Oreochromis niloticus: one gene and its partner. The protein of the gene in region 1 purifies or fractionates together with the protein of each later gene. This does not show direct contact. Links are inferred from orthologs where the notes say so. Each region holds a gene or a part of one and is shown in the gene's direction. Other genes may lie near its edges.

Region 1 (16,588 bases):
ACAGTAAAAACAAATTAAGCTTACTTTTACTTAATAAGTTTGAAAATAGCATTCAAACAAAATATTGGGTCATTGTATTCTGTTAATTACTTTCAAGGCAACTGATGATGCCATAATATCTGATATAGATAAGAACCTCCAAGGGCCTAAGATCCACTCATTTCTTACATATATTGTATTAAATAGACTACTCATTTTAGTAAACTAAAAGATAAGCATGTATATATATTTAAAGTGCTTTCTGCTTTATCATAGCAGAATGCAAACAACAGCAGGAAATTTAAATAGGTGGTTACTTACGAAATAAACAAATACATAAATTAATTAAACAGATAAATAAATAAAGGCTTTGTTTATGTGCAATTTAGCATGGAATTATTAAATATCTCCCCTTGCGCATTACATGAGCCTAGAAAACTACAAAAAATAGAGGTTGTAGATGTCGTTTCTATGCTAAAATGACCTTATTTTAGACGGTTACTAGGTGGTTGCTAAGGATGTATAATCAGACCTTTGCTGATATAAATGTGAAAGAAACATTATATGAATCTTTTATGTGTTACCAGTGCGTAAATTATATAACTGGTGATTTTATTTTGTTGCTTCGTGGCTACTAGGCAACACGACGATGCCATGATATCTGATATAGATAAGTACCTTCAGGAGCCCAAGATGTACTTCTTTTGGTTTGGTTTCTCAACTCCTGTTGATCTTGGAATTTGTGGAAACAAGTTAACAGACAGACAGAGATCCCTGGGGGGGGGGGTTAGGGTGAAACATCTTATTTGGAATTTGATCTCACCGACATCTACGCCTACATTTTTAAAAAGCTGGGACAGCAGCATGTTTTGTAGTTCCGAAAGCAAAACTATTTTCTTATTCTTGTTTGACATTCTTGCTTGTTTTACGGTCATGGCTTTCTTTGTCATATTTTTTTTTTGTTTCATGATGCATAATGTGTGACTTGAAACCATTGTAGGTGTGCCAGTTTATCACCTGCATTGTTTTTCTGCAAAGCCACGCTGTTGTAATACTTGTAAAATGTGGCATTGTCTTGCTGAAGTAGGCAAGGCCTTCCCAGAAAAAGACATCAACAGGATGGCAGCATGTCTAACTTTCACATTTAACCTGTACAAATACACCCTTGTATCTTTAAAGATCTTGGCTTTAATTAAAAGCAAATGTTAGTTTGTCACACCAGATTACATACACAATACACATGGAATGGAAAGAGGTACACAAACAGTAGCTATATAATGTATGTAGCTTTATTTAAAACATGGCTGAAACAAGCCAGAACATTTCCAGATAAAACACAATGGCATCCACACCTAAGGACGACTCAGAACGTTTTTCAGATGAAGCCACAAAATTTTATTTGTAAAGCACATTTCAAGTTAAACATCACAAAGTTCTTCAGAACAAAAATAGCACAACATCAATGCAAGTTTAAAAAGCTGACTTTTTCAAAATCACAGTGCTCAAGCTCAGTGGGAGAGAGTTCTGTTCCCTTTAGTTCTCAGCCTTGTCTGATGCACAACCAGCAGGCCCATAAACTCTGAGCTTCCTCAAGGCCTATTTTAGGGATATATGGATGTAAAAGTTCACTGATGTACACTGCTGCATTTTCATGCAGACCTCTAAAAGTCAAAACCTGAATCTTAATGTGGACTCTAATGTTAATGGGTAGCCAGTGCAGCTGAATGAGTAACAATGTGAGCACTTTGAAGACTTAATCAAAAACCTCGCACTGGCCTTCTGAACAACCTGCTGATGTTCCAATGAGGCTTTGTTGATACAAGTAAACAATGAATTACAGTAATCTAAACATGATGAAATAAAGGCATGAATAACAATTTCCGAGTCAAATTGTGACACAATGGAACTCAATTTGACTGTATTTCGTAAGTGACAAAAAACAAGAGTGAACCAGAGATTTAAAATGAACATCCACAGTGAAGGCAGAAGCAAAAGCTAACAGAGGGTTCCTGGTAGAAAATTTAACAAATAGAACCTAGGGTTCTATTACCTTAAGTACAAATATGTGACTGAATGTCATTTGCATAATAGCAATAAGAAATGACATCAAAAGTGCTTGAGATGCAATGAAGAGCAAGCAGCTATGACAGTAAAGCCCCCAGAACAGAACCTTGTGGCACTTACTTAGAAGGCAGCCAGAAAAACAGATCATTTAGACAGATAGTACCACTCCAAAACAGACCAGTATCTCCAGTATCCAGTATCTCAGCCTATGAAGCATAATGTGATGCTCAAGGCAGATATCTAAGGCAGAGGTCAAGTCCAATATTAGCAAAATGAAACATTCTCCTACATTACTTAACATTATCAATACATTATTGAGATTTCACTGGGAGACTCTAAGAAGAGCCGTGTCAGTGGGTGTTACATCTCTCTTCACTTGCATCCCAGTCATGGAAGCACTGGAGGTAGTTCGTAAGAGATTACAGGATGACCCCAACCTCAGCAACAGGACCACTCTCAGCATCGACCAAGTGTGTTTGCTTTTGGAACTGTGTCTTCATTCCACCTATTTCAAATACAAGGGTCAGTTCTACAGGCAGAAACATGGGTGTGCCATGGGCTCCCCAGTTTCGCCCATCGTGGCCAATTTGTACATGGAAGAAGTGGAAAAGAGGGCTTTGTTATCCTACCCTGGAACACCACAAGTCATTGGTTCAGGTATGTGGATGACACCTGGGTGAAAATCAAATCTCAGGACGTACCACAATTCACGGATCACATTAACTCAGTGGACCAACGCATCAAATTCACCAGGGAGGATATGAAAAGTGACAGGTTAGCCTTCTTAGACTGTGAGATTTCCATCAGTAATGGGGGACATCTAAAAGCTGATGTGTACCGGAAACCTACGCATACAGATCAGTATTTAAGGTTTGACTCTCATCATCCACTGGAGCATAAACTGGGTGTCATCAGGACGCTACAACACAGAGCGAACACCATCCCTACAGACACAGCAGCCAGGGAAGCAGAAGAACATCACATCAAGAAGGCCCTGAGTAAATGTGGTTATCCCAGCTGGACCTTTTTCAAAGCTGGGAAGGCGCCAAAAAAAAGCTCCAGCCGATCCAGGAGAGAAGGACAACTGCTGCCTAAGGGAAAACCCTCAGTGATCCCGTATGTGTCAGGAGTATCGGAACAGCTGAGGCGCATTTTTTCTAAACACCGGGTCTCTGTGGCTTTCAAACCCCAAAACATGCTGCGCCAGAAATTGGTCCACCCCAAGGATCGGGTCCCCCGACACAGAGTAACATAGTGTACGCTGTTAAGTGCCAGGAGGATTGCCAGGATTTATATATCGGGGAAACCAAACAACCTCTGGCGAAGCGGATGGCACAACACAGAAGAGCTACCTCGTCAGGCCAGGACTCTGCAGTCTATTTACACCTACAGGCCAGTGGACACTCTTTCAATGACGAGGATGTACACATCCTGGACAGGGAGGAACGCTGGTTTGAGCGCTGAGTCGAGGAGGCCATTTACGTGAAAAGGGAAAGACCATCTCTGAATCGAGGAGGGGGCCTAAGGGTACATCTGTCACTATCTTACAATGCTGTGATTGCAGCCATTCCCCAACTCTCTGTGAATGGTACTCATGGCCATTGATCAGTGGGCTTTGATTAGTGGTTGTTGATCAATGGTCATGAGAATTTGCATAATTATGATTAAGGAACTGACCTCCCAGTCCATTGTTCCTTCAGTGGGCTGGCTTCAGTCATTATGCAAAGGTACTGTTTATAAGATTGGGGAAACCTGCAGTCAGCTGAGACTGAAGAAGTCACTTGGATGAGTGACGAAACGTTTCTCCCACTGAAAATGCTACATCCAGATGAACAGAATCAACCTTTAGAGATTTTAAGCAAATGATTTTAATCTTACAAGGTTTTTTATTACCCATTTAAATTAAATTGCCTGTCTTTAAAAATGAAACTAACATTAGATTGAAAACTCAATATTTTGGCCAGCAAATTTAAATGACATAATCCTTATTCATTGGTGGTGGCTAATAAAAATGTCATTTAGAGATGCAGAAGCAGATAGACAAACATTTTAAGAAGTTAGATATTCATGAGAAAAAAGAGACTGACATTGCGCAAAAGAGTAGTGGAAATAGTATTAATATATAATGTCTACACTATAACTCAAAGAAAGGAGCAGTAAGGTATAATACAGAAATCTGTAAGTATTTGTGTAAACCTATTACCTGACAAGTGTATTCATCTATTATAGAGTAGTAGAAGAATGTAGGAATGTAGAACTGCAGGAAAGATTTCCTGAAATGTTCTTTAGGACAAGTGAGTTCTGCTGCATCTATAGTGCATTATCCTGTTCAACAAGTGACTGAAATGTTTATAAAAATAATGAGCGTGAAAGATACCAATTTAAACACACAACTTCACATCAGTGAGGCTCAGAGGACAATGCATGCCTTATGGCCCCGTGTATTAACCTGTAAAAGACTTAAGTAGGTTATAGCTCCATCTTGTGGTAGATTTATATAAATACAGATATTTTTCTTACAGCATGACGTATGAGCTGATGATATACTGTATTAGATTACTCATCATTATTATCATTTATTTATCCAGGTAAAAGTTTCAGAGAGATTTAGTGAGTGAGTCACTGAGTCAGTCTTTTTCAAGATAGACCTGGCCAAGAGGGCAGCAGATGGTACAGCAAATACAACACATAAAAATATAACAATTACAGAAACAAACACGAATGATAATCAGTGAAGACAAACTTGTGGATAATATGCAAGAACAGATCATTACAAGAGTAATAATAAAAACAGTCCCTCTGACCAAAAGAGCTATTCTTCTGCTCCTTTAAATTGGACTTAATTTCCCCCATGGTAGGACGAATCAGCCCAAGCAGAGATTTCCATTTATATTTTCAGATGAAAACTAACCAATGGGAAAGTCTATGGATAATGGCTACTTGGCAGCACCATACAGAGAACAGTTTGGACAGGAGCACTTCAGTGTGTTTTAACCTGACAAATTATGATATGCAATGATACCTAGATACTTATAACATGTAACCAGTTTAATTTCAGTTACTTGAATCCTTTTGCTCTTAGGAAGTGTAGACAACAACTTCTTTTGCCATTTGAGATTAACATGAACTTGGATTTAACACAAACCTCAAAGGCAGACAGCAGAAATTTAAAGATTTGCACTCCTACAGATAAATGGAATGCAGTATTTGGATAAAATATCACAAAGGTTATTTACATATAGAGAGATAAAGAGTGGTCCCAATATAGATCTCTGAGGAGCTCCTTTGGATACTGGGAGAAACAAAGAAGAAGACTCAGGAAAGAGGACACACTGTGTTTAACTGACAAGTCATTTGAAAACTAGCTAACAGCTTTTACTGATAAACCAATATTGTTCGCTCTGTTTATTAACATTACATGCCCAACTGTGTGATCTGTAGTTTTTAACATATGAAGGACCACCTCCTCATCACCTCCCTATCATCAACAAAGGGTATATTTCTATATTTCCATATCACCACTGTTCCAAAGCATAAGGTTAAAAATGAAAAGTTTGTGGTTCATCCAGCTTAGGAAAATAAGGTTTAAATTGATGTGGTCTTGAATTCATTGTATCCAACAGCTTTAAGGCCTTGTGGATCTCCATGACATTCAGAAAAGAAAAGCTGAAGAGTTGAATACAAGATTCATTTCGAGCAGTTGCAGAGATAACCTCCTGTTCATTAAGCTGTTTTAAATCTTTATGTAAAGATTCAAATAAAGACCCTGGAGAAACCAAATATTTATTAAAGCCGTTAGGAATGTCACATTTTTCAGTTAAAGTACAGATGTCATCAACAACAAAAAGGGTGTTATATCGCCGTAAGAAGATCGTATTGTTATCCAGAATCTTTTAGAATCATTAAACTGTTTAGTGTTTTGAGGTTGAATTATTTTTGAGTTAAAAATCAGCCAGATTTAGTTTTTCTGGCCTTAGCCCAGCCAGCATCACTTTCTTTGAGGTGACTGGACAGCATTTTACTCTAAATTTGCGGATAGGGGCATGGTTATTTAATATTTTAATGAAAATGTATTTCCATGGCAAATTAATATCACTAATCAGGTTTTATTCAAGTTGCAGTCCTATGAATCGCGGAAGAAAGGTTGCTAAAAAATCTCGTTTAAAAAACAATTTGTTGTCTTGATTTCAGGAGTATCGATTACCTGACTGCATCTACAACACAGTGATTACTGACATCATTTGCAAAACACTAATATGGGAATATTTATGCGGAGAGTATGTAATAAATAAATAAATGTGGTGATGATTTTTCTGAGCATTTAAGATTTGGACAAGTTGGACTGCAAATTAGTTGCGTGACATTAATATTTGTAAATGTAAAACTGCCTGAGACAGAAGATAGTCAGTACGAGTTAAAATCTCCAGCGAGGAGAATTTCAATAAGATCTACTGTAGATACTCATCTTGGTAAAATACATCATAAACGCCTTATATATTAAAATACAAATATCTATATCTCAGCAGAAAGCAAGCAAGGCCTATAGATATATAGTATTAGGTTATTAAAACATAAAACAAACAGACAAACAAAGGCTTTTTATGTGCAGTTTATTAAACAGCTCCCCTTTCACGCTGCATGACCGCTTATCCTCTTGTCTTTAAATTAAAAACAGACGCATACATGAAGAGAGAGCATTTTGTCTTCAAATTAAAAGCACAACTATAACTTACAGCCACACGCAAACATTGTGCTCAGTCCGAGCAACATTTAAACATACTGTTACAGTCAGTGATTAATAATAGCGCAATATGTCTTTGCATTCTGGCGCTAAATGTTGTTATTGTAAAAATTAAGGGAACCCAAACACTACTTCGAAATTCAAGCGGAAACAGGAAAGAAGCTACATGATGTCAAGATCGCCATCGGCCGACGCCTAGTTACGGGAAATACGGTAAGTGAAGAATATATAGTATTTATCATAAACGGTTTAACGAAGTTAAGAGCTTTCTGACTTCAGTGTTTCCCGCTGTTTGTCGAGAACTCGATTTCTTGATTTACATGTTTGACTGTTTAACGAATAGTTCAAACATTTTGGGCCCAAGTTTTATGTGAAATGGCGGTGAATGTGGCTAGAAGGAAGTTGGTGCGCGTGCACACAATAACAGCGCGTGTATACACATGAAATTACTGTTTAGTCAAATTATGTTCATTTTTAAATGAATCGCTAAATAGTTAAACATCAAAGGTGTTATCAAAGGTAAATTGTTATAGAGGCTTACTGTAGATTTTACTGTACAGAATATAATTACCGTCGTACTGCTCATACTTCTCAGTGGTACCCTCATTTTATTTTTTATTTTTTGTCACAAAGGCTGTACTAACTCTAAACATGAATAGGTTGATGTTCTTACCTGGTAAAAAAATTTTTTTAAGAGCATATTAGTGATAGAAAAAAAACTTGCTATATTTGTTATAGGAGTCCTCATAAGAATAGCCGTTATGTATGTTATTATATGTTGTCGCAATATATGCAGTCATATATCTTTTTATGCTCTTATCTGTTTCATTTAAACATTAGAGCCCCCATGTAATCTTGATAGAGCTAAACAATTACATCTACCAGATGTAATTGTTTACATTAGTCACTCTTGGCAGGTCCTATTTTTCAGGTCCAAGTTATGCTGGGCCTCCATACCGCAACAATGCTTGCTAGATCTTTCTTGGCCCAGAGTCAAACTCCTGGCCTGCATTTACAAGCGAATCAGCACTAGTCCAGGTCCACCCTTAAACGAAAAACCTTTTGTTCCTCCTGTGCAAATATCCTGTTCTCATTTTCTTTGCAAGATAGCAGGAAAGTGCAAATATGACTGTATTAAGATGAGCTCACTATATAGAAAATGTATAGAAAGATTGCAGCTTAGTAGAACATTATTATAATATACATGCTTTTAGAGTTGTTGACTTTGGCCATGTTTAGTAAACTTATGTTGAATAGCATTGGGAAATGGAGGGGAATGTTTTTCTTGAGGTGTCAAATACGCATTTCTAATATTGATTCATGAGAAAACTGTTTTCCGAATTAATTTTAATTTGTCAAAGAACCCAGTAATGTTTACAGAAAAACTAGGATAACATTAATAACAATGGCTTAGCTCAGAATTTTCCTGGGTTATTATTCTTTTAAAATGCCAGGAGTTTATAGAACATCTCAGTTTAATGGAAATAATGTGCAGCAAAGAGAGGACTATGCATTCTTACTGTAACTGACTGTTTCTTCATTGAAGTTAATATTGAGGAAGTAACTAGAAAAAGGGAAGTTGTTAGACATTAGACAAGGGGTATGACTGAGTACTTGGAGATGCATTTAAATGTGTGCCTGCAGATGTTTTTTGCAACCTTGTGGATGTGTAGTTGAGGACTGGAATGCTTTCCTGAGAAGCAGCCACCGGTTCTCTTAAGGAACTCTTGCCTGTGTATTCTGAGTCCCTTTTAGCTGTCGTTACTAAAGGCTTTGGAATTTCATTAATCTCTGTGAGAGAAACAGAGCAGCAGAAGCTGTACAGTCACCAACTGTATGTTTTGTTACAGTTTAGTTAAAGATGTCCACAGCAAAGATCATTATGGATTAAAGTTTATAGTGTGCACTATTAGTTACATGTTTATTAGATATGTGTAGACATTTAGGGTGCAAAACTCCTCTAAAACATAATTGTTTAGGTTTCTGATGACACTGACAGGGAAGTGTAGGTTCAGTTTGCATGTAAATCAAAAGACTTTAGTTTTGATTACTTGACCTGCAAAATTAATTTGCAGAATTTGATAATCAGTCATTGCCATTTCTCCAGTTAGTAAAATGCCATGCTTGTCAGTGCAGAAAGTTGGAATAGAAGTTAAAAAATGACCTTAGAGTTGCACAGACTTCCTTTGCAAAAAGTGAAATATTCTCAGGACTGCATGAGCAATATATGGCAATAGTGAAGATCATTGGAGATTCATTTCAGGTATAGGGTTTCTAGAAATGATGTTTGGAATATGGTCAGAATTGGTGGTGTGCCCAAAGCTGAGACGTATAGCCCTATTCTTATCTGTTTTACAGTAGTACCAGGGAGCTGTCTTTTGGTCTGTCTGTTTCCAGATTCATTCACAGCTTAAAACAATTTGACCACAAATGAATGTAAATGAATTTTTGGACAAAAACCCAAAACAAAGCAGAATTTATGTCAAGCTTTTAATAATATGAAGAGGCAATTAAAAACATGAAATTTAAAAATCAAAACCAGCAAATTGCAAAGCAAACCCCCCCCCCAAAAAAAAACACCAAAAAAAACAAAAAAAACAAAACAAAACAAAAACACTGGTCACTGTGGTATATTAAAAGAAACCTTAAAATCTTGAACCTTGAACTAGTAACTTTTGACTGTTTTTTTGTCACACAGTTAATCTGTTGCACATAATGTTGTGGCTAAACTGACTAAATATTTCAGCTCTAGACAGAATGAGTAAATGAGAAAATGATTGGCAGATGAACTGATAATTGGTACTAATTGTTGCCATTTTTATGAGTCATAATATGTGAAGTTGGTGACTAATAGAGTACCAAAAACAAAATTCAAAATGCTTTGACTGTCTACAATGTCTGTACCTGTGTCCTCAAGCTTATGTCGGTTTAGCAGAGATATTGTTGTCATGACAAACAGTTTCCTTATCAGTAGGGGTGGAGTGAGCAACTTACATTGAGCTTTTCGATTATGGCATGTACCAGAACCTGTCAAGTGGTGTTCCGAGTTTCCTGTAGTGGTTTTTGTATGACTAAGTTGTTTTTCTGCTCAAGAGAAAAGCAAGTGAGATTATTTCAGATAGAGCCATCAGATTATTGACAGCTCATACGCTTGCCTCAGTCTAAACACTGTTTTCGGAAATAATTTTTCGCAAGAAGATGCTCATAATGTGAGTTTTCACACTGCCACATTTTCATAAAGAAAGAAACTCTTTGTTGTTTTAACAACAGGACATATAGTGGAGAATGTGGGCGTGTGACATGACATGTGACGTGCTCTTGAATGTTGGCTTGCTACAGGGCACGCACTTATTAGAATATCAGAGCAAATGAAAGGCCACAAATCCCTTCACATTTAGTGGTGTGAATGTGTACAGAAAGTTGACTATCCATTCCGGGTGATTATCAGACTACCTGGTTTAATGTGCACACAGAATTGAAATTGTTTTTCACCCAGTAAAGAAACTTTTTTTAACTGATTTTTCGCTTTTAAACAAATTTGAATTCAGTGCTCGGCTGTACTAATCATATCCTTTGCTTCTTCCTCACTAAAACCTTGTATCTTGATAGTCTGCAAAGATTGAAAGGGTTTAGATATTACCACTACTCTCATCACAGTTCATAGTTCACTTTTTTTTTGTCATCATACCCATAAGCAAACCTGTTATCCTTTAATTGGTAGTACTCAAGAGGGCAGAGTAAGTAAACCAGCCCTGTTAGAGGGAGCAGAAGGAGGGGGGAATATGGGGAAGTGTAGATGCATTTCCCATAAGTCATAGTCAGCCAGCTCCTCCCCCCAGTTGGCTGAAAGCCAGCATCAGGAGAGCAGAAAGCAGAGCAGCAGCAACTGAGCCGAGTCGTTACTGAAAAGTCGAACATGAAGGCACGCAAACGGAGCACCTAGTTCGTGTCGATGACAGGTTATTCAGAACAAATACTTGAGAATGCAGTTCAGACTGGCATCTATTGGTATGTCTGCCCGCTACGTCGGCTCACACATACAGAGTCTGTTTTTGTGCCTGTTTGTTGCAGTGGGGTTTTCTCTATTTCCTTTCCACGTAAATTCATTGGGGTGTGGTGGTGCAGCGTCTTAAGACGGAAGTGACAGTTGAGTTGCTTCGCTCTAGATAATCTTGCGGTGCATGAAGTCTGCGTACAAGGTAGTATCATTAATAAACTCAAACAGCTTTAACGTAATTTTGATTATGTTTTGATCTTATTTTTTGCTGTATTCTTACTTGTATCTGTACTTTATTGGTGTTGTCAGCAGCAAAAACATGCAGCGTGCATGTGATTGTTTTAGTCAAGAATTTAGGCTTAATCTTTATGTGAGAAGCTACTAGTGTAATGGACAAACTGACGCAACTAATTGCAACTGTAGTGCTCTAAATGTAGTTCTCAGTTTGTGCCTTTTAAACTGCATGTAGTTTTCCTGTGTTGGTTTTACAGTCTTACCTGTTGTGCTGGTAATAACTTTTAAGGTGTGAACAGGCAGCCATGCAAATCTTTATTTCAAATTAGTCCAGGCTGTGCAGCCCAGGCATTGCCTAGGTTACTTCCTCTGACTGAAACAGAGTGCATGCACTGAGCGACAGAGTTTGCAACTGTGAAAACAAGGCCGGGGTTTAATTTCCTGTCTCATCTGCCCACCTCAAATTTCACAGTTTCAGTTCATCTGCGCTCCTAAACATGTGTGGCGCAGTAAAATATGTTAAACTTCAAACGAGCCATAATGAAGCAGATCAAATTATTTTTGCGTTTATGCATGGGTGTATATTTCTGTCATAAACCTTTCATCTTCAGTCAGATTTATGAGCTTTTCTGTTGTGCTCGATTACAGCAGGCAAATGGCACTGTGGAAAGTATTTGCAAAGTGCGCCATAGATGCAAACTAAGAACGAAAAATTAAGAAAAAATGAACAAAAACAAACAGCAAAATGCAATGCAACCTTTAACCTGAGATGTGTTTAGTTTTCAGTATCCATTTGTTCCCCTTTTTAGGTATCCTCACTCCCACGCTCACATTAGCAGATAAAAGTCCTTTGTTACATTTTGGAGAAATGGTTTATGCTTATACAAACTTCACAACATTTCTAAAGGTCACTCTTGATGAGTCGCAGCAAGCATCTGACTAACTGAATAAATATGACGCACTGTGAGCTCTGAAGTAACATGTTCATCAAAATCGAAAGCTCAGTTTATAAAGGAGCCAAATATGTTGCCCTCGACCAAAGACAAATTCACTAATTAATATTTAAATAATAATACTAAAAAGTTACTTTTAACTCTCTGGTTATAGCCACACAAACAACCCAGGCGTCTATAACTAAAACCAAATTGATTAACTCTTATTTAAGATTAAAGACAAAACATAAAGGCAGGATACAGTTGATAAGGAAAATCGTTATTTATCAGCTGCTTGTGTCTCTTGCAGATTTAGAAGATAACATGGCGGTGAGACAGAGGCTCTTCAACTCAACAGCGCCTTTCACTGGACCACCAAAAGCTGACCTGAAGGGGACATATCCATCATGCTCCAATGCAGAGCAGGAGACTGAGGAGGCACAAGAGGAGGGGAAGGATGGCAAAATGGGATTTACGCAAAAGTGGTCTGCTGATAAACTCACTAAACTCCTGACACATGGAACTGCAGAACAAGTGGAAGAAATGCAGTTCAAGACCTCAACCATTGTTGCTCAGGCAGAATGTAAATATATCTTATTTTTATAGTGTATCACATCAATGAACTTTCCTGTGAGCCAATTTTACATTAACACTGTGCTCTTTTAGGTGAAACCCAGGACTCCCAGGAGTTTAGCCCTTCCTGTTATGAACGATCCTTCCGTGCCTTCCCTAAATGCTTGACCACCAGGTAAGATCTTGGGGACATTCTCCGCATTATAAATTAAATTTCTGTTCAAGGGTCTGTGCTGAATTGTGTAAACATGCCTTAAATTCCTTTTGCTTTCTTCGAATTTCTTTTGAAGTCTTTCATCTGACCAAAACAATGTGGCGTGCCAAACAATGGCCACCATCCAGGAAGCAAGCACATCAATACTCTCCCCAAGAAAGAGTACCCATAGGAGACAGAAACGTAAGGGGAAGAGGAAGAAGCAGCAGAAGAAGAAGGACAAGCAGCGACAGAGACGTCGAATGCCTTCTGGAGTGCCTGAACAAGAAAGTGGAAGTTCTTTGATCCCGATCCTGGTGAGGTTACTCTTCACATCTCTCTGAGTCTGAATATTTAGTATACTGTGCTGTTAAAAGAATTTAAATCATCTTCAACAATAGGGTCCTAATCTCTAGAAGTCCCCATGTAAACATTACCCTTCCTAAATTGTGGAAGTGAAACATTGAATTCCAACAGCCCCGCCTCTTTTGGCCTTGAATTTTTAAGCCTAGAGCAAATTTGGAGGATGTAAACACCATCTTGTCTAAAAACTTTTTTTCTTCTTCTTCTTCTTGTAGGAGGACTCTTCTGTTGAAGAGAGAAGCGATCTCAGTACCTCTTGCTGTAGCAGCTTTGAAAGCTCAGAGGAAGACGACCGAAGGGCTTCTTTTTACAGCCAACAAGTTTACAACAAAGGCTCAAGCTGTTCCCCTTTGAACTGGCCAGTTTTGGGTAACCTCTCCAGTGTTCGGTCATATGAGCACAACAGCAGCTCGGACTCTCTTAGCAGTGTGGGAGACTGCTCACTGGCCCTTGCTGGGCTCAGGGGCTGTGTCAGTCAGGGGGATCCATGCTATGCAGGGCCATTTTTCAAAGAAGTGGAGAGGGAGACTAGGGAAGACGAAGATGAGTTCTCGGAAGCTGACTCTGTTAGCAATGAGGGACTAATTTTTTATCATGAAGTAAGTTCTGCTTTGCTTCAGTCTGCTTGCTTCAGTATGTTTTGGTTTGAAAATTGGCTGAACCAAACTAACCTGCTTCTCTCTTCCTGACAGAAAATTCAGCCTGTGGACTCAGAGTACAAAGAAGGGAGAGAGTATGTCTTCCAGCACTTCATCAAGGAAGGCTCCTATGGTGAAGTACACAGTGCTGAAGATGTGAACAGTGGGTTCAAATTTGCTGCCAAAAAGGTAATTTACAGCATACTGTTTTGTATAAAAACGGTCTTGTTTAAAAGTATGTACATAATCTTAGTATTTTATGTTCCATCTTTTTCTCAAAGATCGCCCTGAAGAGGTTCAACAGTGAGGAGGTGGGTGCGTGGAGTGCCCTCAGATCTCCTCGTGTGGTGAAGCTCTTTGGAGTGGTTAGAGAGGGGCCTAATGTCGTCCTTCTGATGGAACACAAAGCTGGTAAACAATCCCACTATCTTCCCTTCACACACAGCGTATGTTGTTGATACTAACTACTCCTGTTCTCATTTAAACTCAAGAAACAGATGTGATCAATTAAGTGCACAAACATGTACATGGAACTTGAGTCGACTGAGTTCAAGTGTAGAAAAATACGGATGTGATTAGTGTTGAGATGTGGAAGTGGGTGTTTCTGGGATGCTTGAAATGACTGTTGACCTTACTCAAAGAGTGTTTGTCCAAACTGCACCAAACGTGTGACGCGAGCCTTCCTGATAAACATTGATATACCTGACACATTTTTCCATTGTCATTAAATGCTGGCTTCTTTACAAGCCATAACCCAGAGGAAAAGATTAATCAGATGCTCTCTGTTGGTAAATATTACTAAGACAACAGTCTTTGTCCCGCTCTAACGTTTTGTGTTATTCCAGGCTCTTTGGGCCAGCTGATAGTGGAACGTGGTCGACTGCCAGAGGATTTAAGTCTCCACTACCACTCTCAAGTTTTAACAGCGTTGGAGTACTTAGTGAAGAAAAGGGTGGTGCATCTCGATATTAAAGGTATATTATACAAATGCCATACCTTTGAAAACTTTGATGACTCGAATGTTAGCCTCATATTTAGTATGTTTGGTGTGCCCACATTATGACTGAACAGCCATTCAAGTCATTCATCAACACATGCGGTTATTCATGACACGTATCTTAAGAGTGAGCTTTTGTAAGAATTTTAGTGTAATTTAATCAATTTACAACAGAAAATAAATCCACAAAGTGAAGTTGTTAACTTTTATCCACTTTTTATCTCTGTATAATTTACAAATTAATAATGACTGGGACTGTTCCTGTGACTTCCTAAATATTGGTGATGTTGTCGACTGATAAATTATGGAATGAAAATGGTAAATCCAAAAAAGTAACAATATATCGATATTGGCACTGCCTCACAACACTTTCATTGTGAATATTAAGAGGTAGAGAACAATAGTAATAACAGTAAAACTAAGAAATGTGTCAGCTTGACTTTTACTTGTTGTGGTAGTGGAAAGTTGAAAAAAAGACAGAGAGAAAGTCAGATTTGTAATTAGTTCTCATCAGAGGATTTTGTGTCTATGTGCAGCTGTTGTTTGGAACACAAGTGTCATAGATACAGTCTAGATTTGATCTTCAAGCACCTGGGTTGTGAAACCAGATTACCACAAAGAAAAAGACGGGCTGGGAATTTCCCACAGTGTGACTCACTGCTGTTCTGTAGACACGGCGCATGTGCACAAAGTCAGGAGAGCGAGAGAGAAAGGGAGAACGAAACGGAGTGAGGGGGGGATGGGACAAAGAGCAGGAAGTAGTTTGAAAGAGAAGAAGAGGAGAAAAAGTACAATGGACAGAAAGAATACAGAAGATGAAAATAAAGTGGAAAGGGTTATATAGAAGAACAAAGGAAACACAAAAACAGAACAGAAACTGAGATTGAGGAAGAGCAAAAAAGACAGAGAATAGCTTAAGAGCTGACAAGACATGTTTTGTGGTGTATCTCAAGCGCCATCTGCTGTCTGTAATTTCTCAGGAAAAGCTAGACAATAATACCACAGATCTTCTTTATCTGCGTACGGTTTGTGACTAGTTTCCACATCCATTCCACATTAAAGAGTTGAGCACAGCAGCTGTCCCTGTGTGACTTCATATTTTCCATTCATTTGGCTCCTTTGTCTTAGACTGTTTTGTGTCTAAGCAGCTGCCCTGTTTCTAATTATGTCATCTAAAAACTACACAGCACAAGTCATGGAAATCAACCAAGCACCACTGACATCACACAGCAGCACACAGATTAATGCAATGGATTACTGACTCTGCTTGTTTCTCACAGCCGACAACGTGTTGCTGTCGGATGATGGTAGAGACACCTTCCTATGTGACTTTGGACATGCCGAAAGGCTCGACAATCAGGGTCAGAGCCTCAGTAGGTCCAAAGGTAAATCCTTTTCCACTGAGTAATTTTGGTAAGATGTGCAATTTCTCCACTTACATGTCAGAATTCACAATTTTCTCAATCTATTTGATTACAGATCTGAAGGGCACAGAGACTCACATGGCCCCTGAAATAGTAAAAGGAGAACCCCGCGGAGCTAAAGCAGATGTGTGGAGCAGCTGCTGTATGTTACTGCACATGCTCAATGGTTGTCAGCCTTGGACAAGATACTATAATTGTCGCCTTTATTTGAAGGTATTCTTCGAATACTTTATTGACAGATGTTTGTTCTTTAGAGTACTCGTATCAAGCCTTGACTGAATTCCCTTGGTTGATTGGTTACAGATTGCTAACGAGCCCCCTCCTCTGAGAGAGATCCCACCTGACTGTGGCTCTCTCACTGCTGAAGTTATAAAAGCAGGACTCCAGAAGGATCCACTGAAGAGATCATCAGCATCTGACCTCAAAGAACAAACTGACAGAGCTCTGAGAGAA
Region 2 (16,365 bases), on another chromosome or scaffold:
GACCTCTCCAGGTGTACCCTATCACAGAGGGCCATGCCCACCTCACAAGAGTGTCGGTTAAAGCCGTTAAAAAGCTGAATTGGGGGGGGGCAAAGGCTCAGGCATCATAACAGGCATTTCAAAGCTATTACAGTTCAGTGGTTAGAGAGCGGGATCTCCTGTTACATGTTGTCTGCCTGTAGTCTGGCACCCACGACTGACCAGGCTATCCCCCCGGATGCCATCCAGCTTATCATTTCCCAGAAGACGCACTAAACATACGATCAAAAGAGTCTAAACAAAATTACGCGCGTTTAGTTCTGCGTGTTTTAAACCCGTCTGTGAACGTCACAGGCTCTTACTCCCATTCCCAGAACAAACACGAGCCGTAACGCTTGAGCCTTTACAAATACTCTTCCCCCGTCCACAGTGGGTTCTGGCTTGGCCTTGAAGTCTGCGGTTAGTCACATCTGGTGGAAATGCACAGGGCAACAAACTGCAGTAGGTGGTGACAAAAAAGAAAAAGAAAGGCACAGCACGGCTGGTAATCCCATACAGGCCACGCAAACCACAAGGCGACATTAACAAATCTTTACTAATGGGAAAGCAAGCCACACCTTCATTCCTCCCAAATTAGAGTGAGGACGGCTGGCTTTTACTAGGAAAGGCAATGCCAGCAGTGTGTGTGTAAGTGAAAAACAAGTGATTTTACTATTGTGTAAAGTCTCACCAGACTGCTGGGAGGGAACAAACACACACTTGCAGAAACAGTATTCTTCTCTCTAACCCCGGCTGAAAGTTGAAAGCTCTGGAGCAACGTATTTTTAGGCAGGCGTTAGACTCGGCTGCCAAACGGTGGAAAATATAGCTTTGTTTCTCCTGGTCTTACTCACTTATCTCCTCCTCTCCTTCAGTTTGTGCGTACGTTTGTGTCAGTATGTTGCTCCAACTTTGCCCCCTCCTCCTTTCTTGGGTGTGTGAGAGAAAAAGTCAACAAGGGTCTGGGGAAGAACTGTGCTTAACAAGCTGGAAATCTGAGCTTTCTCCATCTGTGCAGTAATTAAACATAAAGGCAGTCAGCAGCAGGACGGCTACTGTAACTGCGAGGGTTCGTAAAGACGCGGTTCCTTGATCTTTCACAGGCAGCCTGTCTGTCTCCATCCCACCCCAGAAACCTTGGCTACCATGGATACAGTGGCCCATACCAGCAGCCTCATAATGCTAAGCCCCCAGCTCCATCATCTCCAGCTGTTTACTGTCGACACAAGTCACACATAAGCCTCCACTTCTGCTTCTGCTTTACTTTCAAACTCCTCGGCAGAATAAAAAGAGGAGGTGCCTTTACAGTTGTTTTTGCACTGTGGAGGATTTACCCAGGATGCACCTGGGTCTGTCAAACAGAAAATAACAAAATATGCGCATACGTATATAAGTGAGACGGCTCTATGAGAATTTTAACTTGAGCTGTATCAACTCTGGCTATTGGCTAGCCAAACATTCGTCAAGTACATATGAGAACAGCTGTATTTATGTTTATCTGATCGAGTCCGTCTAGTTTCAGTCAACTTGGTTCTTAATCACGATCTCTCAGTCTCATGGTGAGGCGCACAGCATATGAAGCAGGAGCCAGGAGACCAAGCAGTAACCCCCCGGCTGGAAAGTGAAACCAACGCAAAGCAACAAAACCTGTAGTTTCTCAAGAGGCCACTTGAGTCTGGCCCCAAAAGCGAGTCAGTCCACTTATGCCTGGATTATACTTTGAGGATACGGACAACTGGAGACCTGAAGGCCAAGCAGTCATTCCTGCTTCTCTGAAGTCTGCTTGTTTTTTTGTTTTAATGTCCTCAGTGCAGGCAACAAAAACACAGATCCTCGTGTGACTGCTTAGGCTTCAGACTCCCATATTAAAACAGCCAGGAGTGAAAGCATTTGCTCTCTACAGACAATTTCAATTTCCATCACAACAGCTATTTTTTTCCATAACACGGGATGGCAACTGCCAGAAGACTGAAACTGAAACTTTGTAATTGACATTTACAAAGAAACAGGTGGTGTCATATTAGCTGTGTCCATTTTTTGTTTACAGTCTCTGTAGAAAACAATTAAGTTAGCATGAAGACTAAAAGTTAGTTGGACCTTTTCCAACTTTAGTTACTTTTACAGAGTCACATGCAAACACTTAGTTAGCTTCAGAGCAGATAGAGCCAGGCTAGCTCTTTCTACTCTTTGTGCTAAGCTAAACTACACGACTGCTGGCTGCAGTGTCGTAAAACCCCTCCTTGTTTTTTTCTTTACAGTTTTATTACTGTAATAAAGATAAAACCCTTTAATTTCAAATTCAATAACTGCTGCAGGATTCAGCTGTTTTCCACTGATCGCACCAGAACTGAAATAAGGTCACAGCACGGGCCTCGTGAAATTTCAAACCACTGGGAACGTGTGAAAAATAAATAAATAAAGCTGCTGACTGCGCTTCACCATGTAAAAGCTGAAAACGCCTCAGGAGAAAAGCATCAATCGATAGACTCGCATGAAACTGAAAACTGTCCCTGCCTTCCCTTCAGGCCAGTTGGCTCCATTATTCTTGAGTTGTTGTAGTCAGTCGTATTTTTATACCCTTTAGACTTTCTCTGTTCCTGAATTCCTGATAAGATGACCGGTTTGACTGTTTGTTACGGTGGAAAAAACTCATCAGCACGTATGGAATTCATCTTTCCTTTTTCCTTTTTTAAAATACTTCAAAACCTGGGATCAAGTCGAGGACTTGTTTGTTTCCCCGTCCTGTAAAATGTCGAAATCTTAAGTGTTGCTTCACACGAGCTAACAAACAGAATGTCTCTGATCTTATCTAAAGCACAGCGAACGTGACGCATCGACTTTTCAAACCGACTCGTTACAGGCACTCCGTTAGCAGCACCGGGCCTGCAGAGCTCCCTGCACCCTTTTGCTGTTCACTACAAGCACAGACCTGATCCCTGCCTCTCCACCTCGCTCCCGTCAGTGTCAGTGTCTTGTTGTGTAGCTCTCGCTCTGTAATTATCAGCACCGCTGACATTCCTCGTGCTCTCTAAACCAAGACTCCTCCATGTTTATCCGACACCCAGCCGGCACAGCAGCTAGATAATGTGTAACCACTGTAACCATTAGCAACCCTGAAAACACAGAAGAGTCTTTAAACTGAACTTGTACGATTTAAAGAGGCATTCACCTGGACTGTAACAGTGTAACACTGTAACAGTGTAACACTGTAACAGTGTCCTTTACGCTAGCCAGCTCCCATACATTATCTGAAGATTTAAGGGGGAACTATGAATAGCACACATACAGTAATTGACATCTTGTTTGTTTGCGTCACTTTAAGAAGCTACAATTACTCACCGCAAAACCTCCGAGAGTCAGTGCATCTCTATGCTGAGAGGTACTTCCATGTGCTGACGAAGGCAGTGGGAATGAGCGAGTAGGGCACGCTGGTCACGCTGTCCCAGGAGTCTGACGCTGGATCGTAACAGTCTAGCGTCTTGCACCTCTGAGCCCCAAAGTACCCTCCGACCACATAAAGCCTGTTTCCCGACGCCACTGCATGACAGCTGATCCGCTTGGCTGTCACGTCGCCAAACTTTGACCACTGGTACGTCTCGCTGTTGAACCGATAGGCCGAGCTGGCAGAGAATTCTGTGTCACCGCCGATCACGACGACGTGGTTGCCAACCACGGCCGCTGCCGTGTATCGCCACAGCTGTGGACAAGCGGCTGGCACCGACCACCGGTTCTGGCAGGGGTCGAAGCACTGCACCTTGGGGTATTTGTCTCTGTTTACGCTGGTGCCCCCAAAAGCGAAGAGTTTGTTTTTGGCGCCAACAACGGCAGCGTTGCTCACTCCTTCTCTGAGCGGGGCCACGAGGGTCCATTTATTGGTCTGAGGGTCGTACTGTTCCACCTGCTTGAGAGAGACAGACGGAGAGGCGGGGAAGGATCCGGCGAGGGAAGTGTGTCCTCCCACTACGTACAGCATGTGGTCGAGCTCCGCGGAACCGTGTCCGAACCTGGCTACCAGCATCGGCGCCGCTTTAGACCACTCGTCGTGTAATGTGTCGTAGACCCAGACATCTTTGGACGCTCCATTCTCAGACCCACGTCCTCCAGTAACATAGACCTGAGGGACAGAGATTGAAACCAAAGCGTGTTTACATCGTCGAGGGGTCAAAAAGAAAAATGACACATTTAAGTCGGTTCATTGCATAAATACCTTGCAACCAATGGCGCAGGCGCTGCACTCTTTCCTGGGACTGGGGATGTCTGTTTTGGGGGTGATCTCCTTGGTCTTGTTATCGATCATGTAGACTTTATCACACATGAAAGTCTGACCTCCGAGCAGCAGCAGGGCCTGGCTGACTTTTCTTGGACGCGCACAGAATCCGGTTACGATCCCATCGTTCTGGAGGATCCGCATCTTACACCGCACGGCGTCTTCGACGATTTCCCGGCACACCTTGTGGCACATCACCAGCTCCTCTGAAGCAACGTTCTTCAGCAGGTACGATTCAGGCAACAGCGCCAAGCGGACGCAGCGCAGCAGCTCGGGCAGCTCGCTGTGCCTCCTCTCCATGTCCGCCTTGACCCAGTCGATAACGGCCTCGTACACCAGGCTCTCGTCCTCCACCTCCAGTTCCTCACTAAGGATGAGCTCCTGAACTTTGTCCTTGGGGAGGCTTAGGAAGTCTTCTGTCCTAAAGAGAGTAGCAAAGTTCGCCAGGCACATCCTCCACGACAGCTCATACAGTCTCTGACACTGGTGGGCGTCGGACAGCAGCATCATCCCGAGACAGTTGGACTGGTGAAGGTTCTTTTCCAGAAACTCTGCTGCCGCGTCCCTGATGTCATGAAACTGAAGCATGTCTCCAGCTTCCAGCAGTGACTCTGCATTTTCCTCATTGATGATGACCCGGGCTGAGTAAGCGTAGTCAAGCAGGAGCTCCAGCACTTCCGGATGGAGAGAGTCGTGGAAGTTGACATCACCGTCGTGACTCTCTCTGAGCCCGCCGCTAAACATGGCCTCGAAGTACCGGCTGCAGGAGGCCAAGACGGCCCGGTGGCAGGGGAAGGAACGGTTGCCGGCCTTTAGCACGACATCTGTGAAGACTCTGCGTTTGCGTAGCAGGTTGAGCTGAGTCAACAGGCTGTCCGCGTGGGACGTCTTGTGGAAGAGTTGGATATTCATTGAGCCAGAACTAGAGCGAGACTTTCTGTTTTCGTGGTTGCTGACAGACATCTTGACTTGAACCTGGAACACAGAGACAAACAACCATGGATAAGTTACTCTTAAAGCTAATTCTAACATTTCTATTTTGATTACAGTTGGCCAGATATAAATGTCATGCAACATCTTTTGATGTGAACACTCCTCCCATTTGATGATTAAACAAAAACTCTGCCAACACCCGATGAATGGGCTCTACATGAAATACTCTTATCAGTATGTCGGGCTGCAGCGGAAACGGACTTCAGACTGTGGAGAGATGAAAGAAGATCAGATAAGGCGCACTCCCACGTAAACCTGGTGTGTTTTAGTGCACCAGTGATTTACACAGTGCAAAAATCTATAAAGCATGCATCACTGTCAGACCTGTGAGAACAACCGGCTCTTAGAATAACCTTCAACCATTAAGGTTAGGCTAGAAGCAACACCTGGGTGTATCACATCTTTCCACCCTCTTCCATTTCAGGGCTGTGAGTCACCTCCAAACACGGCAAAGCCAATAAATTCCTGCCAGCTTGTTCTGTTTCTCAGCTGGCTCACATACAGGAGCTTTCAAGCCCACATAAGATGTGACACCTCAGAGCAGCTCCTCTAGGATAAAATTATGTAACCGCAGTGCAACAAGAGAGAAACAGGGGGGAGCATTTTCTGATCGTTTATATAGGAAGCTTGAGTGGGAGTGACGTTATATGGTTTGTTTAAAAATTCTAGGAAGTATTTCAGTTACCCACTTGTCCTGGCACGGCGCGGTGGGCTAACAAAGAGCTCACATATAACTTGAAAACGACCAAATAAATATCTTCCGCTTTAAAGCGCCCATTGTTTCACGGCAGATAAATTTAAATCGGCTATTCAACCCAGCTGAAAGAGGGACGGTGGACTTCCGTGGGTGGGGGGGAAACAGCGTGAAATCCAATTCGTTTTGTGCAGTAAATGTGAAACTCTGGTCAGCACTTCCAGCATGCGCTCAACTTTCCTCCCGAGTTAGCAGCTGCAAAGCATCCAGGCTGCTACGATCAGCCGAGGAAACACTGTTACAGCTCAGTCATAACAAACACGCATGATCGCCGTGGTAGGACTGGATCTTACCTCGATGGGAAAGGGAGCGATCCCGACTCCTTTCTTTATCTCGGCTACAACTTCCTCCCGTCGTCGGGTTTGTGTTTGAAGTTGTGGCACACTTCAGGCGAGTCCGCTTCCCGACTTTAAAGCTGTATCACACCCTAAACTCGCGGGAGACGGTTCAGCCATTTGTCTGTCTTCACAATCTTGGGTTTGAGCCCGAAACAAAAGAATTTTTGGGAAGTTAGCCGCTCGCTGTTTTCTGTGGGTGAAGCCAAGCAGCGTGCCGGAGAGCGACGAGCTGAGCGCAGAGAGAAAGAGTCCAAGCAGCAGTGGTGGTGTTTCCTCTGGCTCCTCCCACTCCTGCTCCCGCCGGCCAATGGGCTCGAACATCAGCGCAAAGCCTTCCTTTATTCTCCTGCCAACCTGGATCAGTGTCCGTCATTATATTCAGAAACCATCGCCATGAATCACCCGAAACACCTGTCACTGTATGTTTCACCTGCCTGCTTTGTTCTCGCCTTTCCTTGGCTTGCGCGTAAAGAAGAAAATCTCCATTTCAGCGCTATCAATGAACGCCGAGTAGCCTGTGTTTGTACAGGATTTAGCGGAACAAGACAATAGAAAGGGGGTTTCTGTGAAAAAAGACGACATAACGATAGACAGAAAAAATCACTGGGAGGAAAAACTATCCAGGGCGGCATCATAAATACGCACAGCGTTAAAAATACACGTGTAATACAGGCTGATGTTTAGGAAAGGTTTTCCTGAAAGTTGTTGCTGCTGAGATGTTTACACTTTGATGTCACAAAACAGCTCTAAATATCATTTAAAATGACCTTCATTTCACAGACCAGTCTGCTTACCCAGCTTTGAGTCAAATGAGACCAGGATGAACAGTATAAACACGCTTTCATGTAATAACTATTGTTACTGGAAAAACTCAACCCAGAATTGCACTGGTGCGCATTGATTGTGAAAGACAGCGGTGTGAAGTTGTAAATAACCAACCACGAAAAGTTACGTGGCGGTTACATCATGTAAGATTTAATAATCTGCTCTCTGGAAGGTTTTGTAGAAAGTCACAGGGCCATCCAGCACACCCATCCCCACCCACAGACAATTCAGACCAGAAACCACACAAACATTTTGCCTAAATTACTGACATTTTTTCAGATTTTTATTCCAACTCGGTCAGCTATTGCATTATTTTGCACCATTTTTATAACACAGAGGTCTCAGTGTTGCACAAATCTTCCATAATAAACACTGTGGCAGTAAATTCCAAAACTTTTGATTATTTTTAACACAAAACTAAAACCCACTAAAATAGCAACCATGTAGATAATAGAGCCTGTTCCATGCAGTGGGATGGGCTCCAGCAGCCCCCTCCTGATGCCGAATAGGATAAGTGGGAGAAAATGGACAGATCAACTATGTGTACACTTTAATTTTGGAATGTAAACTATATACAGGTTGACAAAGAATTTAAAAATTAATGATTAGAGTAAGAAAACTGCATACTGAAGTTCTTAAAGGATTTTCGCACACCATACAAGACGGCCAATCAGTAAAATTTCTGGAACAACAGTCTTAATGATCATATGATTGCAGGTTGAGGGCTGTAAGATTGTTTCTTCAGCTGAATTCTTGGCATTTTCTGCAGGAATTAAGCACTCGTGAGGTTTGCAAGAATTCATAAAGAATGCGCCTCGGTTCCAAGCAGCCTATCAGGACGAGAAGCAGGTCAGTTAGGAGTCGTCTAAGTCAACCCCACTTGTACTTGTTTACAACTCAAAGTTTTAGAAAAGAGACTAAAGTGAGAAAATGTAACAATTAAGCATCTGTGTGAGTACCAGCCTTTGCTGGGACATGTCAGGGCATGTCTACATGTGTGATTGATGATGTGAACAATTTATTCTGTTAAGGTGTGTCAGTTTCACAATGTTGCAGTGGCTGAATTTAAATGGATTTGAATTTCTGATAATGTTATTAGTGATTGTCGTGCTTCAACAGGCCACAGTGTCTGCTGTGGAAAAGCGTAATAAAAGACTTCATGGATTTAAACAACACTGGTTTGTTTGTGCACCAAGAAGACTGAAGTCCACCAGAGTGGGTGCCACACATCTCGGGTTTCCTCTGCCTCTCTTCCTGTTTTGAACTCCTTCTTAGTGTCGCTCAGCAGCTGCTTTTGAAGATTACAAACTGCTGCTGCTGCTTAGCTGTCAGAGTTTGTGTGGATAAGAGAAGCAGTGTTTTAAGCCGTCTTCCCTTTTATCCACCATTTCCTCTCCTATTATTTGCTTGACAGGGGATTTACATTTGAGTGCATCTCATTTATCAAGTAAGCAAATGTCTGTTTCTTATACACCGGAACGTCCTGGAGTAACCTAACATCCTGGTGCAATACCTCAAAGTCTGACCGTCATAAACTGGCTGGTAGTTCTCATTTTTATAACCATTGTAGCCGCTGCTCATTATTGCTGGCAGAGCCAAATGCTTTCATGCACACAAGTGTGCCTGAAGGAGATTAAGCATTTAAGAAGATTAGATTAATGAACTCATGATTGTAATCTAGGGTTAATTCATTTTGCTGTACTTTAACCCACTCCTCCCCTCCCCCGGCCCTTTCCACCCCCAGGGCTTGAAGCCTAACCGGTCTGTGGAGTGTGTGTGTGTGTGTGTGTGTGTGTGTGTGTGTGTTGTTCCAAGCATTGTATGACTGGTCATTAATTACTGTTGGGCAGGCGCAACACTAATCAGACCCCCTACGATTGTTCATCAACACCCCCGACAGTGCAATAAACCACTCAGTGAGCGTCTGTTTAGATGACAGTAACCGCCACTCCATTGTTGACTACACTGTACCACTTATTTGTTCGCTCAAGGCAGGTGGTCTTCTTAGTGAGGTCATCGAGTCTGAAACATAAAGCTGGGGGTCCTTGGAGAGGCCATCCTTAACCCTGGGCCCCAACGCAAAGAGCACAGAGCTTCTTCTGACTTTCTATTCCTGTAGTCGACTCTGGCTTTTCATTTATTTTAGTCTGCAGTAAATGTTTTGGCTCATGACCTGCTTATCAAGGACAGCTGACATGTTTAGTCCTAACATTTATTGAAAATGATGTTATCTTTAAACAAGTAGATTTGACAGAATTGTCCCTCCTTTTAGAGTGACAGCCCATCCATAGATGGAAGAGAAATGCAGTTTAGTTATTAAAAAGATGAAGTGTATCCTGATCAAAGTAACACACAGAGGATCAGGAAAACTTGTGCTCAGACTACAATTTAAAGACTGGCTGCTCCTTTTAAAGGATGACAGTGTGTAACTATTTAATAGTTACACACTGTCATCCTTTAAAAGGAGCAGCTCAAAATCTAAATCTAAGGGGTGCATTAAATACTTTATTATTATGTTTTTGGTTAATAATAAAAGAAATCAAAATTATGACTGATGGGTGGAAAATAAATGAATAAAAAATTAATTTCAGTAGAGGAAATTAGCCTCGTTACAGATTAAAGTCATTGTCTTATTATGTGGAGTGACAGGAAAGTTGAGCTCACATAGTGTTGATCTGCACAAAGAATATCTGCTTCATGAACGGTCACAAATGTATCGATAACTGTTGATAACACACTGTGAAAGAGCCTAACTGAACTTAGTCCAACTCGAGGGAGTATTTAGCGGAGAACAGCTCCACCATGTGGCAAACAAAAGCACTTTTGTTAAGGTGGATCAGGTGTTAACCTGTTAACCGTAGGGGTGACCAGATGCCTTCATGTTGGACTGCACCGCATGTTTTACCCCTTGCGCCGCTGTCCCGCATATTGAGACAATGTCCCGCACTTTGACCGGCTCTGCAGGATGTGCACTTTTTAAAGTCGGGTTTTTATGTCCAACACTCTAATGCGCTAACTCTGAAACCAATAGGGGAGAAGTCACCTAAACGTTACACGCTTTGCAAATTTTGAATCAAATTATTCAACAGAAAATTTAGCGGCGGTTTATATCGTTTTTTTCCTCTGGATAATTTCTTCACTTTCACGCAAGGGAAAATATGGCGTAAAGTGACACTACACGTGTCTCTTAATTGGCTAGAAAAATGCTAACGTTGGCTCAGTAAACATTGTATAGATAATGATGATGATGATTAACAGACAGGAGAGCAGCTGAAATAACAGGACTATGTAAAAAGTATTGCATAAACTTCAGCTCCGCTTCATCCTTATTTTATTTACTTAGCAAGAGAGCTAAATAGTTGCTTTTAAATACCATTTATTTGGCTTTTACATGCTAAATGCAAACCTGCACAGTACTTCCCTGTATCGCCAACATGGTCCCACAAAAATGCCGTTTTTAAATGTTAAAATGTAAATAGTAGTACTATACCTGATCTGTAGGAGAAATGCTACTTGTAGCAGTACAACCTTTGTTGGGAAAAAAAAACTACATTTCCCATGACGCCGAGTGGCTCACACGGAAATGACGCAACAGGCACAGCTTCTGTCAAGGGCATCGGAAACTAACGCCGGCTAAGGCTAGCAGCGGCTGTTTGCACGTGTATTGGAAGAAGCTCCGCAAAGGTGAGTTTGAAGAACACGACTGTGGCGGAAATGGACGGCTTTGGTTCAGACTTCTCAGCAGGAGGGTCCGGCGGAAAAATGGACACCGGTACCATCATGGAGCAGGTCAAGGTCCAGATCGCGGTGGCTAACGCTCAGGAGCTGCTGCAGGTAAATCAATGAACACAGCTGCTAAGCTAGCAAGCACACATTGAGTAAGTGCTGAGTGCTTTTACCTTTACGGGTCAAAGCTGTACAATGGCTTTGTTCTTCGTCCTGTGTGTAAGACTATTTTATTTTTTAGCCCGCAATAACTTCTGTAAGGTTTATGGATCCTGTCAGCATGTTAATACACGGCTCATATAAACACACGAGCCGAAATGCTGCTGACATAAAAAGATACTTTTGAGCCAGACCAACTTTGGAGGGTCTTTTTTTTTTTTTTAAAGTCATGCAAATATTCTGCGCTGCTGCTGTCAGAGTTGTAAATGCTAATAAAAGATTGTTTTTCATATTTCAGAGAATGACCGATAAATGCTTCAAGAAGTGCATAGGCAAGCCTGGAAGCACACTGGACAACTCTGAGCAGGTATGCACTGGCGGACTGAGTTGCTTCAGTGATGCACTGCTGCTCCGAGCAAAGAAGTGATCACGTTTTTAAGAAAACAGGAGGGCATAACGAAAGTGCTGCAGGGCTCTAAAGGCTTACCTGACAGGTGTTTTTGAGTGGGTCAAATGCAAGCGCAATACCAGAAACATAAGGTGTTGCTGAGGTACTCCATCATCTTGTAGAATAATATAACAGGTTTATCGTAGGATAAGATGGACCAACATGTATCGACTCCCGAGTCTTCATCAGTGTCTCGTTTCCAGGTTAGAGTCGATCTGCGTTGGTCTGTCTCTCCCTGCAGAACTGCTCCTAGGATAAACTTGTTATATATATATTTATATTTGAAAACAAGGAGGAGTGCATCAGAAACATTTTTTTGGTATTAATCACAGTTTTAAATTGGTTAAATTCTTTATAGACCACGAGTGGATTATTTCTCTGGACTTTTAACCCGTGTTTTTTTTTTTTTGCCTTGTCCCTAACAGAAGTGTATCGCCATGTGTATGGACCGGTATATGGACGCCTGGAACACCGTGTCCCGAACATACAACTCCAGACTGCAGCGAGAAAGAGCTCGCATGTGAACTCCTCTCTCTTCATCTTTCCCTTCTTCAGGCTGCCGCACACAGCGAGGGCCGATGCAGTGCTCTGCAGGAGGGCCCACGCTGTGCACGAGTTTTGCCACGACAGCGGCGCAACATCTTTCACAATACCTGTGACAGGCAGAGCAGAGCCTGTGGACTGCAGCCATACCAGTGTCTCTGTGGACAGTTTTTCTGCTCTGAGGAACAGTTCACTACCAATGTTAAATCGATTGTGTTTTACGTTAGAAATATAATAATTCATTTTCTGCGTGTTCTTGCCATGTTGATTGGAAACACTAAATTACCTGCTTAAGTGTGAATGTGTCTGAAAGTGTTTGCTGACGCTGCGACAGGAGGCTGAGCCTGCTGTGCTGCTAAAAGGACTCCAGATGCAGTTTGGCTCAATAGGCCCGCCTTACTTACTGTGACTCATCTGCCTGCCCATCGAATGCTTCTGCCTGTAATACCAGTAACAGTAAACTTCTCCCAGTCACTGCAGACTCTCCTTTAAACACTGTTTCACATTCTTTGCCGGGTGATTGAGCTTCGAGACTAAATATTTCCTGGAGCCCTTAAAGGAAAGAAAAAAAGTGCTTAAAAATCATCAGGAAGAATCGAGGAGCAATTTGGTGTTTTCACCAGCATGAATTTGACATTTACAAGCCTCCAAACAGACCTATATCAAAGTACAGCTGGAGAACAACACTGTTTTGTCTGACATGTTTTCTGGTTGTCACTCTATCTGCTGCCCTCCACAGTAGTGGGTTTGTTTCAGCGGGGTCTCCCTCGCCCTAGACGGGGTACTGCACCTTTCTCAGCCTCGTGTGCATGCGGTTTGTTAGATATCTGGGAACCTCCTGAGTTTGTGTGAGGAGCCAGAAAAGCTCTGTGAACATCTTTTGCAATCAGTGATATTTTTTTTCCCCAAGAAAAAATAATAAATCTCATCAATCAGGTGTTCTCTCGTTTCTGATCAAAAGAGCGAATATCCACCAACAGAACGACACCGAGTCCCACGTCACTGACTTTGTACAGAGTAGACTTTCCCCACAAATCCACCTTACAGTAAAAGATCACAATACCATTATATTGACCCATAAATGAATGTTCTCCACACAAGGCCATGTGCAGTGTGTTTACCATCCATGACAATAAATAAATGTAATAAATACTCCAAATGATCCGTGCTAGCTGAATGTTTAAGCCACAGTTCAGGTGGGAGGAGGATGGGCCCAGTTCAGGTAAAAGCACAGCACTACCGACAGCACCTGTGACCGGAGGGTCACAAAGGTCAGTGCTGTGTACACTGAGTATTTGTGTGTGGCTGTTTAGCATGACCTCAGTTCTCTGCAGACACAGTTCTTCCTTCATCAGAACGGTAGGTATGTGGATATCCAGCTCCTGATAGACGTCACACGAGTGTAAACTCCCGGGAAACCGACTCGGCCACATCCGTGTCCCCAGCTGGTTACTCCAGCAATAAACCACTGACCGGAGGGCTGACGGCACGTCAGCGGCCCTCCAGAGTCTCCCTGCAATATCAAAAAACAGATCAACAGTTTCATTTGGAATTTAAATAACTTTAATGCATTTATAAGAGCAGAATAGCCGACTGAAGATGAGTATGGGAGCGGGGGAGTAAAGAGAATGTCAGTCAGTCTGCAGCTGAGCCAGGTGCTCTGACCGAAACAGGAATGCATGAGGGTTTCGTTACATAAGAAGATTATGGAGAGGGTGCAAAGGGGTGGCCTGCCTTTGCTGTGAAAGAAAGCGTACATTTTCTATCAGATCAGCGTATGTTTGTGAGGTGGTCACATTTTCTAGATTTATTCTTTTTCTTTTTTCTCTTACATCTGATTCTTGTTTTTAAACCATAATTTATCGTCAGCCTGTTTCCAAAGGCGAAGCGGAGAACCCTTTAAAGGGTGAAGATCGAGGCTGACTTTGCTCCAGCCTGGTTAACCATTCACTGTAAAGACACCAGTAGCACAGTCATATTTCCTCCAGCCTCCGAGCACTACATGCAGTGCACCAGCCTGATGTTAACCAAGTCTCCAGGTTAGGAACTTTTTAACGATTGTAAAACAGGAAGTGTGAACATCTTACCAAGCAGGTGTCCCGACCTCCCGCCATGAATCCCGCACACATCATGCTTGAAGTCAGAACGCTACCGTATGATTGCTGACAGTCCGTCTGGTCAATGATGCTCACGGCAGCTTTCTGTAGCAGGTTGGTCAATGAACCTGTGGAAAGAGCATTATACACAGAACAGGTGTGATCGCAACAGTACCAGTTTTTTTGTTGCTATGGAGACTGACAAACATCCATATCCACATTGTCCTGTTTTAACAGCAGGACTTTCAGAGGTAGATAAGTCAGAGGCTAAGCATTCATATCACATTCAGTCGTGAGAGGTCGAACAGCCCACGCAGCTATTCCTGCTTTTCTTCTTACCTCTGAAGGCTGAGTTAAGTCAATAACGTGAAAATGATCTCGCCTCTCGTGCTCCCCTGCCTTTATTTCTTACTAAAGACATTTCATTTCTTTTCTGTGTGACCTCTAAATGCAGGACGTTTAGTTTTGTGGGTTCATCTCTCACCTCCCTCTCTCATGGATCCCCACCCTGTGATGTAGCACTCTGCGCTCTTTAAGAAGCGGTGTACTGGTGATGGAAGACAGACAGACTGGATGGTGTAAGACATCGGGGCTGGGACGGCCAGCTCCAGCAAAGCCACATCATGGTCCATGTTGGTGCCATTAAAGGCCGGGTGGATGATTACCCTATGGATGGGAACGACCAGGGCTCCTACCCCAGATCGCAGCACAGATCCCAGGCTCACGGCCCAGTTATTGGGAGTAGAGTCACTATAGATGTAACTTATTAATATTAGAATCATTCCTGAGCTTTCAGTGAAACGAGTTTTGATATAAATGTATGAAATACCTTTTGAAGCAGTGCGCTGCAGTCAGTAACCACCTATTGTGAATGAGGGTGGCACCGCATCTGTGAAGCCTCTGGTACTGAAGACTCCCGATCCAAGGCCACTCTCCCCTCCGAGCCGTGACTCCGCCCACGATCCTATGGGAGCCCAGTGCAGGGCGCACGCCGCAGTCTTTAAAAAAAAAAAAAACGCAGTTAAGAAGAATGACCCTTAAATTCCTCCTCATACACCGTCCTTCGTGCATTTTAAGTTTACCACAGTTTCTTTCATCGGCCCCGTTGGGACAGTCTGCGACTCTGTCACACTCCGGGTTGACCTTGCTGATGCAGGAAGTGGAGCTGCACTTGAAGTTTCCACTGCAATTCAAGGCTGGAAAAACACGGAGAGATTAAATAAATGAATCTCAGTAACTGATAAAGCTCTTAAGATTAAGGAGCTTTCAGGCTGACATTACCAGACAGCGGCAGCGCTGCTGCAGACGACACGTTATCAGCTGAGGTCCTGGGTGCTGGTGGGGTATTAAACTCTGTCACAGTGGGAACATAATCATGAACCGAGGTGGGATCGGCCCGGCTTAGAATCCAGTTACGGAGCCTGGTAACACGGGAATAAACCCCAGGTCTGTTGACCTGAGCGCAGCCCACACCCCAGCTCACTATCCCAGCCAGGAAGAATCTTCCCGGGGCCCCCTCGCACACCAGAGGTCCTCCAGAGTCCCCCTGCACAGGACACACATGATACTCTGAAAAGTGTCATCTTTGGTAACTTTCAACTATTCAGCATCAGGTAATCTGCTCTGGCTGGTCAGGATGTTAGCATCATTAGGCTAATCACCACGATTTTAAGCATCAGCTCTGAACCTTGAAACTCACTGAGCTACTGCGAGACATGTCTAAGAGCATTTTGTCTTTCTTAGGGAGACAACACGACCAAGAAGGGGAACGATATCAGCTGTCTTAATTCACAGTTATTGCTTTAAATGTTGAAACAATTATGTAATAAGTGCATTTTACACATTCTTACAAGTTCATATTTTTGTCTAAAAAAAAGAACATTTTACATACAGAGAAATTAATTTTTCCAAAACATGTTACAAAATTTATGCAACATAAGATATTTTGAAGTGGATTTCTCTAAGACTGAGCCTCGTGTTCTCACTGTATAATTAACACCACACGGTTATGCTGAGATGAACAGATGGCTTATAGGTCTCAGTTTTTAAGGTGAGAACGGTGTGAATATTTTTAGCGATCCTCAGACCTTCAGATCGTCAGTGTACGTATCGAGACGCCCCCTTTCTCATCCTGTTACAGCCACCGCATATGAACCGTTTCCACCACTGACCTGACACGAGTCCACCTTGCCCTGCAG

Evidence for each region.
Region 2: the proteins of map3k14a (region 1) and timm13 purify together in Homo sapiens (affinity purification with mass spectrometry; 3 studies listed by BioGRID and IntAct, with this or other methods). This does not show direct contact. The link is inferred for Oreochromis niloticus from reciprocal best matches to the Homo sapiens genes MAP3K14 and TIMM13.

The regions. Positions count from the first base shown.
Region 1 is NC_031969.2:25,783,178-25,799,765, reverse strand, and holds the start of map3k14a (mitogen-activated protein kinase kinase kinase 14), read left to right. Parts: upstream 1-10,625; 5' UTR 10,626-10,767; coding exon 10,768-10,792; intron 10,793-10,855; exon of another isoform or gene 10,856-10,983; intron 10,984-12,257; coding exon 12,258-12,530; intron 12,531-12,613; coding exon 12,614-12,695; intron 12,696-12,810; coding exon 12,811-13,030; intron 13,031-13,291; coding exon 13,292-13,675; intron 13,676-13,768; coding exon 13,769-13,903; intron 13,904-13,995; coding exon 13,996-14,125; intron 14,126-14,559; coding exon 14,560-14,688; intron 14,689-15,991; coding exon 15,992-16,096; intron 16,097-16,190; coding exon 16,191-16,348; intron 16,349-16,438; coding exon 16,439-16,588.
Region 2 is NC_031986.2:44,771,192-44,787,556, forward strand, and holds timm13 (mitochondrial import inner membrane translocase subunit Tim13), read left to right. Parts: upstream 1-10,804; 5' UTR 10,805-10,909; coding exon 10,910-11,029; intron 11,030-11,378; coding exon 11,379-11,447; intron 11,448-11,953; coding exon 11,954-12,052; 3' UTR 12,053-12,727; downstream 12,728-16,365. Other genes in the region: enc3 (ectodermal-neural cortex 3), read right to left, coding at 3,386-4,132, 4,226-5,248; tmprss9 (transmembrane protease serine 9), read right to left, coding at 13,423-13,584, 14,159-14,295, 14,652-14,917, 14,997-15,165, 15,250-15,363, 15,449-15,713, 16,339-16,365. UniProt on the Homo sapiens protein: Mitochondrial intermembrane chaperone that participates in the import and insertion of some multi-pass transmembrane proteins into the mitochondrial inner membrane.